Linked DNA regions of Sus scrofa. The protein of the gene in region 2 interacts with the protein of the main gene of each other region in a biochemical or structural test. Links are inferred from orthologs where the notes say so. Each region holds a gene or a part of one and is shown on either strand. Other genes may lie near its edges.

Region 1 (8,784 bases), on a different chromosome or scaffold from region 2:
AACTTCCATAGACAGGATTTCTGTTAGGCTTTCTTGATTGCTGAAAATAGCTCTTATGTCTACATGGGATATTAACTTTGTGGTTCCCAACCTAGAATCTATAAATTTAAGTTACTCAGAGTAGTAGTCAGAGCATTAGATGCAATTTGGAAAAATATGGAAAAGTAGAAGGGGGAAAATTATTCATATTTCCACCCCAAATATCACCTTATTTTGTTCTCTAGCTCACCAGGCTTTGCGAATAGAATCCAAAGACTAATACCATTAAATCCCCAATAAAATATATGCTCTATGAAGGCTAGAATTTTTTTGTCATGGGTTCTGGAGTAAAACAGAAACATTTAGAATGAACTTGAGAATCTTAAGGTTTTCAATAAATGTATACTGACTAAATTAAATGATATTTAAAGAGTTTTATCATAGTGTATATGTCACTTTTATCATTGTTCTTTCACTTAATGTTTTAACTGCATTTTTCATGTTGCCATAAACATTATTTTTAATGATTGCATATTTTTCCACCTAATGGATGTGACATATTTTACTGAACATTTCCTTGTAGTAGGTGATTTCAATTAACTTAATAATACTTGAGTAAACAATATGACCTTGAACTGTTTCTTCCTCTAGTAGTATCTCCTTAAGATATATTCCTAGAGTTGGCAAACTTGAATCAAATGGTTGAAATATTTAATGCCTTTTGATACATATCACCAAATTATTATATCACATACTGCTTTCTTGAAAGTTTTAAACCAGTTGGCAGTGCCATTTGCAATACATAATTTTCTACTTAGTCGTATGTTTATCTTATGCAAGGGGATGTTGTTGTACCTACACATCTGCCTATATGTGAATCATATGTATATATAATTAGCAAATGATCCCTGATAGTGACTTAAAGTATGCATTTCTTTAATAGTGAAGGTGGACTGTTTTAGTTGTTTAGCTATATTGTTTTCTTGTTTTAAATTTTTTCTAGAAGTTTTAGTGTTTTTCCCCCCTAATATTTAATAGAAATCATATACAGCTATATTTTCATACTTGATCCTCATATTTTTGTTTGGTTAGCCCCACATTATTGATGCTTTATTTAAACCTATAGGAAATTTCCATTTTTACATAATTAAAAAAAAACCCATAAAGCATTTATTGAGGAATGTGCTATATGTTGTCAGTCATTTGAGTGGGTGATCTCATTTAATCCTTTTAACAACTTTATTTTATGACTGTAATGGTAATTATCTCCATTTTACATATGAGGGAACTGAGACCTAGAGAACTTAAAATACAGGGTAACAACATACTTTCTGACACAGTTGTGGGAACAGGCAGATTTAGAACAGAGGTTGAAAATTGGCAGCCTGCATGTCACAGTCGACTTACAGAATCTTTTTTTTTTTTTTTTTTTTTTGGTTCCCATGGTGTTACGTTTTAAAAAATATTTCAAGTGGAAAATTAGGTGACTCCTGTCTACACTGGGTCTATATATTCTTTATTCTTATCATTTCCCACATTTTAGCATGCATGCAGATTTGTACTTTTTCTTTGCTAGTCCAATAACCAAATAAATACATTATGTTAAAAGCTTTACTTCATAAGGCATATGTCTTATAATATATCTTCTGACTTTGGTTACAAACAAAATTGTTTGCAAGTGCAAAAATTTTGTTGGGTTAGAAGTTTTTTGTATAATGTACATTTTTTTCCTCAATAGAGTTGCACTTGTTTGTCCTAAGTTGACTTGAATTTGGCGAGAGGTCCAGTAGAATAAGTTTTGTATCAATATTTCTTTGGCATCATCTCTTTGAAAAAGGGAGATGTGGAAGATTTCATGGCAGAGTACAAATTGCAGGCTAAAATTAGCATATGGTTCATTTTATCAAAACTGATATACAGAAGACCTTTTATCATCATTTTGAAAAAAAGGAATAGATTTGTTGAGGTAAAATTTGTTGAATGGAGGATAGTGACCTTCACTTTTTGCTTCTAAGTCAGCGTGATAATTTTCTATCCTCTGTCACTCTCTCACTCTTTTTTTTTCTTTCTTTCTGTGTCTCCAGTGGATGTGAAGTCAGAGGTTCCTGTGGGCCTGGAGCCCATCTCGCCTTTAGACCTAAGGACAGACCTCAGGATGATGATGCCTGTGGTGGACCCTGTTGTCCGTGAGAAGCAACTGCAGCAGGAGTTATTGCTCATTCAGCAACAGCAGCAAATCCAGAAGCAGCTCTTGATTGCAGAGTTTCAGAAACAGCATGAGAACTTGACACGGCAGCATCAGGCTCAACTTCAGGAGCACATCAAGGTAGCAAACGTTTCTTTGTCTCTGACCTTTGACTCAGGGAGCCTGTGCCATAACATGGGCATAGGAGGAGCACGGGGGGCTGTTCCACTGTGATAAGATGTGGATGCATGGCTGGAAGGGCACTGTGGTTGTACTAATTAGAGGCACAGTTCTAACACAGTTATGGGAACAGGCAGATTTAGAGCAGAGGTTGAAAATTGGGTAAGTAGTAGGAAACCTGGCAAAAAAACCTGGCAAGAAAACCCTGCTTTTCTTCTCGGAGAGGGGCCTCTATACTCTTTTATCCTTTAGTTTACAGCATCTGTGGTAGGGAATAGTAACTTTCCCACCCTTTTTTAGATTTTTCTTCCTCATGATTTTGTCCATTTGCCTAATCTGCTCTCCACCAAGATGATCCATGAGCTTGGAAGGAGCCATTTTCTATTTCTAAAGGATCTGCGTAGTATTTACCAGAGAGGATAAATTAGTCACATTATGTGAAGACAGAGCCTTTTTCTTTTCTTTTTTTCTGGCTATGTCCACAGCTTATGGAAGTTCCCAGGGCAGGAATTGATCTCCTAATACAGCAGCAATCCAAGCTACTGCAGTGACGACACCAGATTTTTAACCTGCTGCAGCACAAGGGAACTCCAAGAGCCTTTTTCTGTTTCTTTTATTTTGTCTTTTTAGGGCCCCACCCATGGCATATGGGAGTTCCCAGGCTAGGGGTCTGATCAGAGCTGTAGCTGCTGGCTTACACCACAGCCACAGCCACAGCAACGCAGGATCTGAGCCATGTCTGCAACCTACACCACAGCTCTCGGCAACGCTGGATACTTAACCCACTGAGTGAGGCCAGGGATCGAACCTGCATCCTCATGGATGCTAGTCAGATTCGTTTTCGCTGAGCCATGGCAGAAACTCCAAGCGTTTTTCTATTTTTTATTTTTGTCTTTTGTCTGTAAGTGGATGTTCTGAATATGTCTTAACCTTCCTTATGGAAAAGACCTCATAATGTATATACATATAAAATAATAACATAATGAAAAGCTCAATAGAATTATATATAAAGAAGCTGGTGCAGATATTTTCAGTGTTTTCATATAAGTCTAAGAGACTATAGATAAGAATTTATTGAAAGAATTTTGGGAGTAGTTAACAATTTGAGACCCAAATTGTTTAAATTATTCTAGGAGAATATGTCCATATCCCAGAATTTTTTGATGGACTATATTATTATCAGATCATTCTAAATGTGTCTGTGTATCTGTTTATTCTCTTGTATCTTGAGATAAATATTACTTCATTTTTTTATGTCTTTCAGCATCTCCCCCCAACACACACCCAGGGCTACAGCTCTGGCATATGGGAGTTCCTGGGCCAGGGGTTGAATCCAAGCTACAGCTGCAACACCTATGCCATAGCTGTGGCAATTCTGGATCCTTAACTTGGACCTAGCCTGGGATGGAAACCATGCCACCCAGAGACAATGCCAGATACTTAAGCCCACTGCAACATAGTGGGAACTTCTTAAAAAAGATATTTGAAACAAAGCTATTTTGGTTTGACTTAGTGGATGTTTAATTTGAATTTATTATGACAGTAATATAAAGCCCCAGATATTTATAAGTTCTTTTTTTTTCTTTTTGGCCACCCTGCAGCATATGGAGTTCCCAGGCCAGGGATCAGATCTGAGCTGCAGTTGCAACATAAGCCACACCTAGGGCAATGCTGGATCCTTAATGCTCTGATCCAGGCCAGGGATTGAACTTGCATCCCAGTGATCCCAAGAAACTGCCGATCTCATTGTGCCACAGCAGGAACTCCATAATAAAAAGTGCATTTTTATGTCCAATTCCTTCAAAAATGACTTAACTGAATGCTAATTTATTAATAAAATATTAATTATTAAAATAAATCTATTAATTTAATGAATAATTTTGAGTTTATTAATAAATTTATGAATAAAATAAATTATGTGTTATATCATATCTTACTATATTATATTATAGGCACTTGCTCTTTTACCCACTTGCATATCAAATACAAGCACATTTGTGTGGGGTAATATAAATAACTAATTATGTTAATATTATATAATTTTACCACATTGATATTATAGCATCTCAGAAGGTAAAAATGCTATTTCTTCCTTATGTTTCTTATTCTCTATTTCCTTAGCCTAGAAGGCCTATTTTATCTAATTTTCAAAAAAAGCTTCTTTGACACCTGATGTAAATTTTTTCTCCTTTTAGTGAACTTGACTAAAAGAACGCTTGCGATTTTTTGCTCTGTAAAAGACCTTAAAATAAGAGTAAGGATTTTGGTTTGAGACCCACATGGAATCATGGCTATATTTTACAGTATAGGATACTTTGATTTAGTTCATAGACTTATTTTTGAATGATTCTGAAACATTATTATTTGAAACAGTAATAGATGTCTAGCTTTTCTTCTTCATTCATTCTGGGCATGTTAGGATGACAATGGCGACAAATGGGTAAAACTTATATTCTTCACCATACTTTAAGATTTAAGTAGCTATCTGGTTCATTCTGCTGTGGTGTGCAAGTTGTATTGCCCTAATATAGGGCAATATTGATAAGTGTCAGATTTAGATATTTCTTTTCATTTATATTTGATGCCTTTTGTAGTTGTAAAGATCAGCATAAACATTTTTAAAGTAATTAATTGTTTGAGTTTATTCAAAAGTTAATAGAAGCAAATTGGTAATTGTTAATTTGCCCCAAACAAGGTAGGATATAGCAGGTCTACTGACATCTGGAAGATAGTATAAAAAGGGGAAAAGAAAAATGATTCTGCGATAACTAAAAGCAAAACTTAGATTTTGGATTTTTTTTTTGTCTTTTTGCCATTTCTTGGGCCACTCCCACGGCATATGAAGGTTCCAGGCTAGGGGTCGAATCGGAGCTGTAGCCACCTGCCTATGCCAGAGCCACCGCAACTTGGGATCCGAGCCACGTGTCTGCGACCTACTCCACAGCTCACAGCAACGCCAGATTCTTAACCCACTGAGTAAGGCCAGGGATCGAACCCACAACTTCATGGCTCCTAGTCGGATTTGTTAACCACTGAGCCACAACAGGAACTCCTGGATTGATTTTTTAAAGTAATAATAAGTTGTTTTCTTTTAAGTTTAAGGAGTTCTTTTGGTTTAATTTTTAAAATTTTTATTGTTTTGCATTTTTTATGAGCAAGGCTAAAAGTTGGTGCATTTAACATTCATTTACATTTTGTTTTTATGAGGAAGGCATAGTATGATGCTTTACTTATATTTGTGTTTATATTGGCCTAAGATTCATCTTAGGCTTCTATAGTCTACATCTGTTGAATTAGATGCTATTATCCTATTTTCCCAGCCAGTAATCTGAGGCAGAGAGAAATGCTGTAACCTGTTCCAGACCACACAGCCAGTAAATGGATGCTCCAGTATTTGTAGCTTGTCTGCCTCCAAAGCACCTAATTGTTCCTGCCTCTGTCTTGCACTGGAATATATTAAACTAGAGGAGTGAAGTTTTGTTTCTTTTTTCTTTTCAATTTCATTCCTCCAATCTTCCATAATGAATAGTAGCGATGGAAATTAAATTGTATGTTTTTCTAGACTCCAAAGAGAGATTAACATTCAGTTCCATTGGGGCTTTGAGTGAATCTATGACCAACCCCAATATCTATATAGAATTAACATTTAAGGCAAAGTTGAAGCAGAATTATGAAATTTTTGGTTAGCAGAATTTGGAAATTTTTGGAGTATCTAGAAACACCCATTAAGAGACTAGTAGGTCAAATCCAAAATGCTCCAGATCTTAATATGAAAAGTAACCAGAAATGCTTCTAACCCTATCCTTCTGGGATGAGGAAAGCTGTTGTGTTTGACATATAGAGTTGGCTATCTGTTGCTCCAGAGTGACTCAGATGCCATTCCACATAACTTTTTATTCTTATTTTGTTACTTTTCAGTGTCAATTTCAGAGTTCTAGGCATCTAATATAAACAGCAAATTACACTAACTCCATTAGTATTGAGTTTAAAATAGTACTAGTAAGCAAAGTTAGTATAATTCAAACTTACAACCTAAATTTCATATGTATTATGAACATGATGTATGAGGGAGATTATTTCTCTGTCTTACATATGAGGAACCAGTGCTTTGAGGAGTGTAGTAAGTTGTCTATATCTCATATCTAGTAATGTCAGAGCCTGGTAGAACTCAGAGTCTTTACTTACTCCTCAGGGGGAACACTTACTATTAATCATAAATGTCTATTTCTCAGTCTGAGAGAAATCTGACATCTCAACATGGTTATTGAGAATGCTTCACATTCTTGTTGTACATTATGTGGAAGTGAATTCAAGGAATTCAGACAGCCAGACAATAGTACATCAAAGCATAGTCTTATGGGAGTGAATTCTTCTTGATCAGTTTCTCTAATCTGCAGAGCTTTGTGTGAACCAACCAGACTTTTGCTATTTTGAGAGAAAAGCTTGCTATGGATATATGGAATGCATTCATCTATTGAAAACTTCCTCTGTAGGATTTTGAAATTTTTAGCATTCATTTTATTTCTGGTAGATTTCCCCCAAATTAACTAAAATCGCACTATCCTATTCAGTTTATGTTCAAACCATTTCTCAGAATAAGAAGTAAAGATTTCAGTTGTTTTTAATATTGTGAAAGACTTGGGAAGTCCTGCCTTTCTTTGCCTGTGTCATATATTTCAGATGTATAAAGAAAAGTCACTAAGGAACTGAAGATCTGAATGAATTTGGTAACATTTTGATAGGGCGATGTAGGTGATGAAGCTGCCTAAAAACTTTCTTGTTAATGACTATATATATCAAGTCTGTTGAGATTAACTCTGATGGAAAATAATATAGCAAAGGGAATGTGTGTGTGTGTGTGTGTGTGTGTGTGTATATATATATATATAGTCATATATATATATGAATGACTGGGTCACTTTTCTGTATAGCAGAAATTGGCACAACATTGTAAATCAACTATCCTCCAATAAAAACTTTTTTTTTCCCAAAAAAACACCATCTATGGCACTAGTTGCTTGTCTTTAGATTTCAGTAGTACACAAAAAAGTGGGTAAACTGTAAATACAAATAAGTTCCAATTTCAATTTTGGACTTTGATGACTATGAAGCCTTAAAGAAATTGCACACTCTCATGTCTTTCTCTTCTCGCAAGTTGCAACAGGAACTTCTAGCCATAAAACAGCAACAAGAACTCCTAGAAAAGGAGCAGAAACTGGAGCAGCAGAGGCAAGAACAGGAAGTAGAGAGGCATCGCAGAGAACAGCAGCTTCCTCCTCTCAGAGGCAAAGATAGAGGACGAGAAAGTAAGAGGCACCAGGGTAAAAGATGGATCTCTTCCCTCATCTTTAGCTGATCGTCATTCAGAAAAGAGCCTGATAAAGAGCGGAATTAAACTTGTCAAAATTGTCTGTGTTTAAGTAAAACGATAAATTATGAACCCAAATGTAAAGCTTTGACATTCACATGTCAGCTCTCTACATTCAGTTTATGGGCATCTCCAAAAGTAAACATAGCATTGTTTGGCAAAGATACCAATTTCCCTTGTTTTGAACCTTAAAAATAATGTTATACTAAGGCAATATAGCTCTGCCATTCTGTTCAATAATAAACTTACTTCCACATTACTCCATGCCTTCCTCCTGCTCAAGTAATAATTACTTTTTAAGTCAAGCCTTGTTTCCATTTAGTTTTCAAGTAACCTAGGTAGTATTAAGATTTAAGGGAGAACACTTGTTTTGTTTTGTTTTGTTTTGTTTTAACTATCCACAAGAGGGAGACAGATCCAAATAATTCTCCTGTATGAGGTCAGCTGAAAATCAGGTCTTAGCAAGGTTTAAAATGTGATGACTTGAACTGGAATTGTCAGCGGATATTTATTTGTTTGATGCTCAAAAGAGCTTTTATAAAAAGTTAGTTTTTCAAACTAGCAACTTAGAAGACCTCATTTTAATATGTTTTATCACTTATGATCTCCCAAGATTCTTGACTTTTTAAAGGCAGTGTTTTGTTCCTCAGCAGTATTTTTTAAACCTTAGGAAAAAATTAGTATTAATTCTGGGAATCCCCCTTCTGCAAAAGCAATTAAAGAAATCATTGAAGCTCTTTTGAAAATTGGCAGTTGAAGCAGTAGTTACAAAACATTACTCTGTCACTTTCTAAAGCCTGTTTAGACTCTCATTTTGTTTTTAATAGGAAAACTTCATATGCTGTGACCAGTGCTGTTACTCCTTAATTTTTACTAAATATTCCAGAGGCATGAAAGGACAGAACCCCAAATCACCATCTGTTTCTGTATGTGTGTGTTTCAGGGGCAGTGGCAAGTACAGAAGTAAAGCAGAAGCTTCAAGAATTCCTGTTGAGTAAATCAGCAACAAAAGACACTCCAACTAATGGAAAAAATCATTCCGTGAGCCGCCATCCCAAGCTCTGGTACACGT
Region 2 (8,784 bases):
GGGCCCGCCCGGCACCGGGCCGGGCGAGCAAGGGGCTCCCAGGGCACCGACCTCGTTGAGGACGGTGATGAGGGCCAGCGAGTACTCGATGACGTGCTGGGGGTCGGCCTGCCGCAGCAGCCCGGGCAGCATGGTCTCCGTGAGGCCATACAGCCAGGCCGTGAGGTCCGGGGGGCGGCCAGGAGGGTCTCCGGGAGGCTCCGGCAGGGTGATGGCCAGAGACCTGCGGGCCGAGGTGGTGGGTGAACAGGTGGGGATCCCCTCCCCACCCCAACCGGGCACTGCTCGCACAGGCCCAGGCTTACCTGTTGAGGGCGACCACGGCGGCGCCCAGCTGGTCCTGCACAACCACCGCCAGGCCCACCGTGAAGTGAGGCGCAAAGCCGGGTGGCAGCACGGCCCCATAGGTGGAGAGGCTGCCCTTGTAGACGCAGAACTCCTCGCAGTGGCCCCGGCGACAGCGCCGCAGCAGCAGGGCGTAGAGCAGAGGGGCGCCCGCATCCTCAGCATCCTGCCAGCCTGGGGGCCCCCACAGTGTCAGCAGGGTCCCCGCGTGCCCCCCGCAACGGGGCCCCAGGGCCATACTCACCCCCACACTCGAAGTGCACCTTGGTCGTGAGTGCACGCACGGCTTCCAGAGGGAAGAGGCGGCAGGAGCCCCCCAGCGGGGGCCGGTTGGGGGACAGGCGGATGGAGGCACAGCCCTGCTCCTCCCCCGCACGGCCCAGCACCGTGAGCGTGAAGATGTAGCCCTCGCCATCCCGCAACACGCCGCGCCGCACCACCAGCCGCATGCCCGCGTTCCCCGTGGATGTGGTCGTCTCGTCCAGCACCAGGGTCTCGTTGCTGAAGGTGCGCGCGGCCCAGCGCTGAAGGGCACAGAGACCGTGGTGCTCGGGGCAGGTTCCCCTACCGCTGCACTGCACGCCCCCCAACCCCCACCCCCGCCAAGGCCCACCCTGCTCACCCCTCTTGTAGAGCCCCCGCTGCAGCTGTCACAGCGGCCCTCCAGGTACACGTAGGAGCTGCGGCTCACTGCGTACACCGCCTGCGCCTTGCAGGACACGCACTCCAAGGATACGATGGGCACCCGGCCCCGCCGGATCAGCACCTGGGGAGTGGGCGGGACTTCAGGAGCCACACGCACCCTGTCAGGAGCCCAGGTAGGGGCTCTGCTGCTGAGGCCCAGGCCCTCAAGTGTGCTGGGCGGTGGGTAGGGAGTGGGACCCAAAGAAGAGCAGGGCCTCGGCCCCCTGCACCTGCTGCTCCTGGGCCCAGCCAGCCGGAAGCCCAGGCTTCCCAGGGATCGAGCTCCCAGCCTCCACCCAGTATGTTCCTGCGGTTTGTGTCTCCCAGGCTTGGAGGAGGGAGCAGAGTCCATGACGGGCTAGTTTCTGCAGCAGCCCAGGCCGGACCTGGGCCTGGTACCCAGCAGGCACCGAGAGGGGCCGTGAGCGGACAGACAAGTGAAGGCGCCAAGGCACGTGTGTTCACAGGACGAGGCCGGCTGGGCCCTCGGCTGTCGGTGGGGTGGGGCTGCACTGGCCCCAGATGGCCCCTCTGGGCAGGACCCCTCCCTGGGCAGCCCAGCTGTGAGCGGCCTGGTACCGGGATGGACACTCCACCCGAGGCGCCAGAGGGCCTGGTCCACCTCTCCCTTCCCAGCAGCAGGCGTGGTGCCACTGAGGGAAGTGTATGCAGTCCCGACCCGCCTGGCCAGTCTCGGGAGCGCGTGTGTGCGTGTGCACCCACACAGGCGTGAGAACAGCATCCCCGCTGCCCCGTTCAGAAGGGGACACTGCTCCAAGGATGAGCCGCGTCTCCTGGCCGCGGGCCTTTGGTGCTGTGAGACTGGTGTACTGCTCACCCCTGTGAGGGTCCAGGCTGTGCCTGAGGCTCGGGTGCAGCTGCAGCCCTCTTGGGAGGATGCAATGCCCAAGGCACGCCGCCTAAAAGCGGACTTCTATCAAAGGTGGTAACTAAGAACCCAGAGCCGCCAGAAGCACCAGAACACAGAGAACCTTAACAAGGGGTGCTCGGTGCTATGTGCAGGCAGCACCCCCACCTAGGACCTGTGGCACTGCCTGGGCGGTACCCACCGTCTGGCTGGTGGCTTCCTCACGCCGGCCGGCCTTCCACACGGTCAGGTTGAAGGTGTACTCCACGCCAGCCCGCAGGCGCTCCCGAGGGATGGTGACCACGCTGCTCCCACGGGGCCCAAAGTTGAGCACACAGCCGCCAGCCTCACCCTGCAGCCAGTGATCAGGTAAGGGGTGAGACCCCGCGCCCTGCCTCCAAGGAGAGCCCAGCCCAGGGGCTGACGGGGGGCCCCCTCCCCTGGCTGAGATCAGAGCCACCAGGCAGACCCCAGCCCCCACTGGCTCACTCACGGCCACGATGAAGCGAACCCAGGAGGATGGCCGCCCGCCCCGCCATGCAGCTGACCTGGGTCGAGGCCACGCAGGCCCAATGGAAGTTGAGCGGCGTCTGGTCGCCGTCCTCCAGGTTGGGGTCGTAGGACTTGCTCCCGTCCAGCACCAGGTCCTGCGTGTCGGACCACACACGGTAGGAGCCGCCCTCGACGATGGGCACCAGGCGCTCAGGGGCCACTGTCACGTTGGCCTGGACGCTCTGGGCCAGCGGTGTGTCGCCAAATGACACCACGAACACAAAGCAGTAGTGGCCCACGGGCAGCGCCAGCCGGGGCACCACCAGCTGGGGCCGGCTCACATCCACGCCGGGCAGGGTCAGCCGAGCCGGGCGGCTGGGGCGCTGGCAGCTGGCGGTGCGGTACACCTCCCAGCGGTACTCGGTCTGGTAGGAGACGCAGTTGCGCAGGTCGACGTGGGCCTCCAGGTAGTTGCGCTGGGAGCGCCGCATGAGCACCTGCGGGGGCAGGGCCACATCCACCTCCGGCTCCCTGCAGGCCAGCACATGGACGGTGACCGTGGCCTGCGCCACGAAGAAGCTCACCAGGTTGGAGGCATTCACCTCCACGCGGTAGTCCCCGGGCTGCAGGTAGGAGTGGGCAGCCCAGGGCACGTCTGTGTCCTCCACCAGGGCTCCGTCCCCGAAGTCCCAGCGGTAGGCCACGCGCCGGGGGCTGGGGCTCGTGACCGCCTCGAAACGGGCCGAGCGGTTGGTGAAGCAGCGGTCACCGCGCAACGCCACGTGCTGGATCACGTCCTGAACCTCAACCACGAGCGTGCGGTTCATGCCGCCCAGCTCGTTGAAGGCGCGCACGTGGATCTCCAGCAGCCCCGCGGCCACGGGCGTGTAGGTGACGTCGCGGCCTGACAGGATGACCAGCGAGTCCCCCTGGACCTTCTGCAAGGAGAAGTACCAGGCGTAGGCGACACGGGAGCCCCGCTGTACCCGGGCCGTGAAGTTCCTCTCGGCGCCCGTGGCGAAGGCCGGCTCGCAGCAGTCGGGGACCTGGAGCCCACCCACGGCCTCCAGCACCGAGACGCGCACCTGCGCCTGCGCCCGGCTCACGTGGTTCTCGGCCTGGACGCTCACCGTGTAGTCCCCAACCTGGGGGAAGCTGCGGGAGAAGTGGGGCCCGGGGAGCGCCTCCGGGCCAGCCCCGCTGACCTGCAGGTGTAAGCTGACCACCGAGCCGGTGGCCAGCAGGATCTGAAAGTGGACCAGCTGCCCAGGCTCCACCACCTTCCTGCTGCTCCACAGCACCAGGCCCACGACGGGCTCCTCCGCTGTGAGATTGTGTGTGGCGACAACCCAACTGACTGCGTTGGAGGCGTTGAGCTGAATGGAGAAGGTGCCGGCATCGGGGAAGACCACGGCAACGTGCTGGCCGTGCCTGCTGCCACCCGGCACGGTCCAGCACCAGCTCACCTCGGTGCCCGAGGCCAGATGCCCCCAGAGAGGGACGCTGGAGCCAGTCGCCACGAAGCTGCGGTCCAGTTCACCGACCCGGATGCTGAGACCGCTCACGGGCACCTGCACAGCCACTTCAACGGTGGCATTGGCCGAGCCCAGCTGGTTCTTGGCCGTGACCGTGACCAGGTGCAGGCCAGGGGTGGAAAAGGTATAGGTGGTGGAGGGCTCCAGGGTCTCCCAGCTCAGCCCTTCTTCTGGGGACCAGGAGTAAGTGATGCTACTGCCGCCGGCCAGCTCGGCACGGAGCGCGACGCTTGTGTGGACAGCGGCTGGGTTTGGGGAGGCGGCCGCGGCCAGCCACCCCACAGGCTCCAAAAATTCCACGGTGCGGTTGGCCGAGGTGCTGCCCAGCATGTTGGTGGCCCGCAGCTGGACGAGATAGGTGCCCGCCTCGAGCACAGTGAGCGAGAAGGTTTTGCCGCTGCCGGCCAGGGCCGTCCCGCCGTCCCGCTGAGCTGTCCAGCTGTAGGAGATGTTGGTACCGTCCCTGACCATGGCCTGCAGCTGCAGCGTGTGGTTGGTGGGGAAGCAGCAGCTGCCGCCACCGCCCACCACCTGCAGTCCCTCTATGTGCTGCAAGACGTAGACGAAGATGCTGTCCTGGGCAGCGCCCACCTCGTTCTCGGCCGTCACGATGATGTTGAAGGTGCCCACGGAGCGGAAGGTGTAGGAGATGGTGGGGCCCCCAGGGATGGGTGTGCAGCGGTCGCAGAGGACCCAGGAGTAGTGCACGTCGCTGCCCGCCTCCAGCCAGGTGCCGAAGCTCACGCTGCCGTTCAGCGGCACCACCGTGCGGCTGGCGTTGACGCTGAGGCCCCGCACGCGTCGCTGCACCGTGACGTTCAGCCGGGCCTCCCCCCGGCTCACGTCGTTCCAGCCGGCCACCCGGACTGCAAAGGAGCCTGTGCTGTCATAGGCGTGGGTGACGGCGGGACCCTCGAGGCGCCCGCCATCCCCCAGCTCCCACAGGTAGGCGGCAGGGTGCCCGCGGCCCACCACCGAGAAGAGGTAGGGCTGCCCCAGCTCCAGCACGTGGGAGCCGTTGACCTCGATGCCTGTGAGGTCCACGGGCTCCTGCACCTCCACGAGCGCCGAGTCATTGGCGGACGAGATATTGTTGGACACGGCAACGGTCACCAGGTGGGGACCCGGGGCCCGGTAGGTAAAGGTGGCCTCGGGGCCCCCGACGCAGGCGGTAATGTCCTCAGTGCCAAAGTCCCAGGCGTAGTGGTAGGGGAAGAGGGGCCAGGCATGGGCCACCAGCCGGGCCTCGTCCCCGAGCCGCACGAACTGCCGCTCGGGCCACAGGGTGACATTGCCCACCTCGGGCTCCACACAGACGCTGCGGAAGTAGTGCGCCTTATTCACGCGGCTTGACAGGACCAGCGCCAGGGGGAATGTGCCGCTGCGCGTGAAGTTGTGCGTCACGGTCGGGTCCCCCCGGACGGTCGTGTTGGACGAGCCGTCCCCGAAGGTCCAGTCGAAGGTGTAGTGGGCAGGGTCGCCGGTGACGTGGGCTGTGAGCCGGGCGTGGGGCTGGGGGGGGATGCAGGCTGTGGGGTCGATCCACAGCACCTCCAGGACAAAGACCTGCACAGGCAGGCTCTGGGCCAGGTGGCCAGCGGGGCTGGACGCGCCCACGGTCACCGTGCAGTTCTGTGCCCGCAGGTACACGTGCTCCACCATGGCCTCAGGGCCTGAGAGCACTGTGCCGTCCCCCATGTCGAAGGTCCACGTGACGTTGTCACCCCCATCCAGGATGGCACGGACCACCACAGGCGCACCCTGCTCCACGGCCGGGCTCAGGCTCACGGTCAGGCCACGGAGCTCCTCGAAGACCCGGACGCTGACCCCTGCCACCACGCTGCTGACAGTGTTGTTGACCTGCAGGAGGATTGGGTACACGCCCCTCGAGGCGAATGTATGGTTGACCTCCGGCTGGGGCTGTGTCACAGCTGGGGAACCGTCCCCAAAGTCCCATGTGTACAGGACGCCCCCGGGCAAGGGCAGTGGGTGTGGGAAGAAGGTGACAGGCCAACCAGCCACCAAGACTCGGCTACCCATGGCCACGGCCACAATAGGCAGGGCGGCACGCACGCTCACGGGCACCTGCTGCGTCAGATTCTCGAAGGCGTTGGACACGAGCAGGGTCAGGTTGTATTCACCTAGTGGACAGTCACGGAACGGGGACGGAATCAGGGCCGCTGCAGCCACCTGCTCGGCAAAACCCTGTCTGACCTGGTGCTGGGGGCGTGGGCACCTGGGGGAGGAGGGCAAAGCAGGGTCCCAGCCCAAGAGTGAAGGGGGCAGGCCCCTGGACCCCGCCCTGAGCCGGTCACAGGGGGCGAGATGATGGGCTGAGGTGGGAAGGAGATGGAGAGTAGGGGTCTCCAGGGCTGCGTGAGCTTGGGGTAACAGGGCAGCACAGACACAGGCTGAGGTGACAGGGGCGCTGTCTAATCTGCATTTCTGTGGGCAAGGCTTCTGGAATTTTAAAAATGATGAAGAGGAACCTCCCCTTCTCCCCCAAAAAAGGCTCAAGGGAGGAGACAGGAGGGGAGAGAAGAGCACAGCTTCCGGCCGGCAGACTCGAATCGTGGGTCTCAGAGGCCCAGTCCACCCTTCAGCCCTGGAAGCCTCTTCCCCCTAGTGAGGGCCCCGGCCACCGGCCTGGACTGGATCAAGGGGCCGGGCTGGCCCAAGCTGGAGGCAGGCAGGCAGCAAGCCTGCCACTCACCTGGGTCGGTGTAGGTGTGTGTGACATTGTGCTCCACCAGCACCTGGGCCACCGTGGGGTCTGGGACCTGGAAGGACTCGTTGTATGGAGGCTTGAACTGGCCAATCACCTGCTCCCCATCGCCAAAGGTCCACCTGCCAGAGCAACAGGCAGGCAGTGAGCAGGCTGGGGGATGAGTGGGAAGAGCTGCCACTTTCCCTGTCCCTCCTTTCAGGATCCCACCGGCCCGGCTTCAATCCTGCAGCCCTTCCCCAGGTCCTGGCACACGCTGGCAGGCGGGGAGGAAGCTGGGGGCACCAGCCCCGCCCAGGCTCGGCCAGCTCCTGCTCCCCACCGGGCCCAGCACGCTTACAGAAAGACCACCTCCACGGCTGAGTCCACCAGCACCTCGGCTGCCAGAGCCAGCGTGGCATTGAGGGGCAGCACGGGTGGCACTGCTGACACCCGCAGGCCCCGCATCTTATGCATCCGCTCCACCGTGACATTGTAGTTGACAGTCACATTGCTCACGTGGTTGGAGGCCGTCAGCTGTGGAGACAGGAGGCAGTGAGCAGGCCACCAGCGGGCCAGAAGGCAACGTGGACACAGCCCCACCCCGCACTCACCCAGAGCCGCCACGGGGTCCTCGAGAGCAAAGCAGAACAGAAGGCACAGGGGAGCGGTGACCTCCCAACACCACCCCCAGCCCCCGCCCTGCCCCCGCCCCGCCCACCGAGAGCTTGAAGATGGCGGCGCTCTGGTAGATGACGTTGAAGACCACATTGTGGAAGGTCAGGGACTGCTTGTCGTCGATGGTCCAGCGGAAGACCACGTCCGAGCCGGCCTCCACCGCGGGGCTGTACCTCTGCAGGAAGGGCGCGGTGTCAGCTGGCCGCGCCCCAGTCCCCGCCCAGGGCCTTCTGAGGGCCAACTCTGCCGTCCACCCGCATGCACCCACCTGGACCCGCATGCGCCCGCCTGGACCCGCCATGCGCCCGCCTGGACCCGCATGCGCCCGCCTGGACCCGCTCCCACTGCGGCTCCCTGGGACAGGCCAGGCCACCGTGCGTTCGGGGGCTGGGGCACGGCTGGGGCGGCCACACAATATGGGGCCGAGCTTGGGTCTGGTTACGCCTCGGCCTCTCTGCACCTCCGTTTCCTCATCTGGGAAGGAGCCCTAGTACCAGTGACAAAAGCCAGCCCACCTCGGTCCGAGCAGCCCTACCCCAGGGCCCCTTAGCTGGTCAGCACAGCGCCATCTACCCATGTCACCTGGTAGAACAAGGGTGACCAGGGAAAGCCAGGCAGGGGACACAGCTGCCCCAATGGGCCCTGTGCCAAGCTGCAGAGCCAGTGGCTGCCTTGTGCAGGGTGGGTATCCCCAGGACGGGAAGAGCCCCTCCCAGAGTGGCCCCTGCAGTGATGCCTCCAAAACTGCTCACTTGAGCCAGGTAGGAACAATGCAGCGGCCCTGAACACACCCAGGATCAGTGACATCAGAAGTGGGTGAAGAACCCAACACTGGATCCAGGAAATGAGAGGGCAGAAGGGAGTTTGCCAAGCAGCTGTGCTTTAGAGATGACTTTCCAGGAGTTGAGGAATTAACCAACAGTCCGAGGAGCCACCTGACAGGACGTGCCCAGAGACGGACCCCGAGCCCATGGTCCTGGCAGCCAGGCGCTTGCTCGCTGGGGAGGGGCCGCCTCTGCACAGCACCTGGTCCCACACTCACCACCAGGACGCCCTGCAGCACACGGGCCTCAGGGCTGGGCGTGGCACGGAGGCCGCGGATGGGCTCCTCGGCCTTCACCTGCAGGCTGAGGTTGGCCCGGCCGGCACCATTCTCCACCACGACGTCCACCTCGTGCTCGCCCTCGTTGAGCCTGGGCAGCACCAGCACCGAGAACAGGGTGGCATTAACCTCGCAGTCGCAGCCAGGCACCAGGGCAGCCACCATGATGGGGCAGGTGGCCTCGAAGGGGGCGCTGACGTTGCCCCCAGGCCAGCGCGCCATGGCCGTGGCGTTGGCGCCGGAGTCCACCTGGAGCACCAGGGCCGAGCCGTTGGTGGGCACGTAGAGGCGGCCGTCGTGGGGGGGGGGGTAGATGACCCGAAGGCCGGCCACCGGGGACAGCACGTTGAAGCTGCAGGACAGGTTGTGCCGGGAC

The links.
Region 1: the proteins of PKD1 (region 2) and HDAC9 form a complex in vitro, tested with the Homo sapiens proteins (2 studies listed by BioGRID, with this or other methods). The link is inferred for Sus scrofa from reciprocal best matches to the Homo sapiens genes PKD1 and HDAC9.

Annotation. Positions count from the first base shown.
Region 1 is NC_010451.4:87,755,005-87,763,788, forward strand, and holds part of HDAC9 (histone deacetylase 9), read left to right. Parts: intron 1-2,063; coding exon 2,064-2,305; intron 2,306-7,499; coding exon 7,500-7,665; intron 7,666-8,655; coding exon 8,656-8,782; intron 8,783-8,784. UniProt on the Homo sapiens protein: Responsible for the deacetylation of lysine residues on the N-terminal part of the core histones (H2A, H2B, H3 and H4).
Region 2 is NC_010445.4:39,870,560-39,879,343, reverse strand, and holds part of PKD1 (polycystin-1), read right to left. Parts: coding exon 8,349-8,784; intron 7,482-8,348; coding exon 7,350-7,481; intron 7,166-7,349; coding exon 6,990-7,165; intron 6,772-6,989; coding exon 6,638-6,771; intron 6,066-6,637; coding exon 2,446-6,065; intron 2,250-2,445; coding exon 2,100-2,249; intron 1,112-2,099; coding exon 968-1,111; intron 870-967; coding exon 590-869; intron 520-589; coding exon 306-519; intron 224-305; coding exon 52-223; intron 1-51. UniProt on the Homo sapiens protein: Component of a heteromeric calcium-permeable ion channel formed by PKD1 and PKD2 that is activated by interaction between PKD1 and a Wnt family member, such as WNT3A and WNT9B. Both PKD1 and PKD2 are required for channel activity.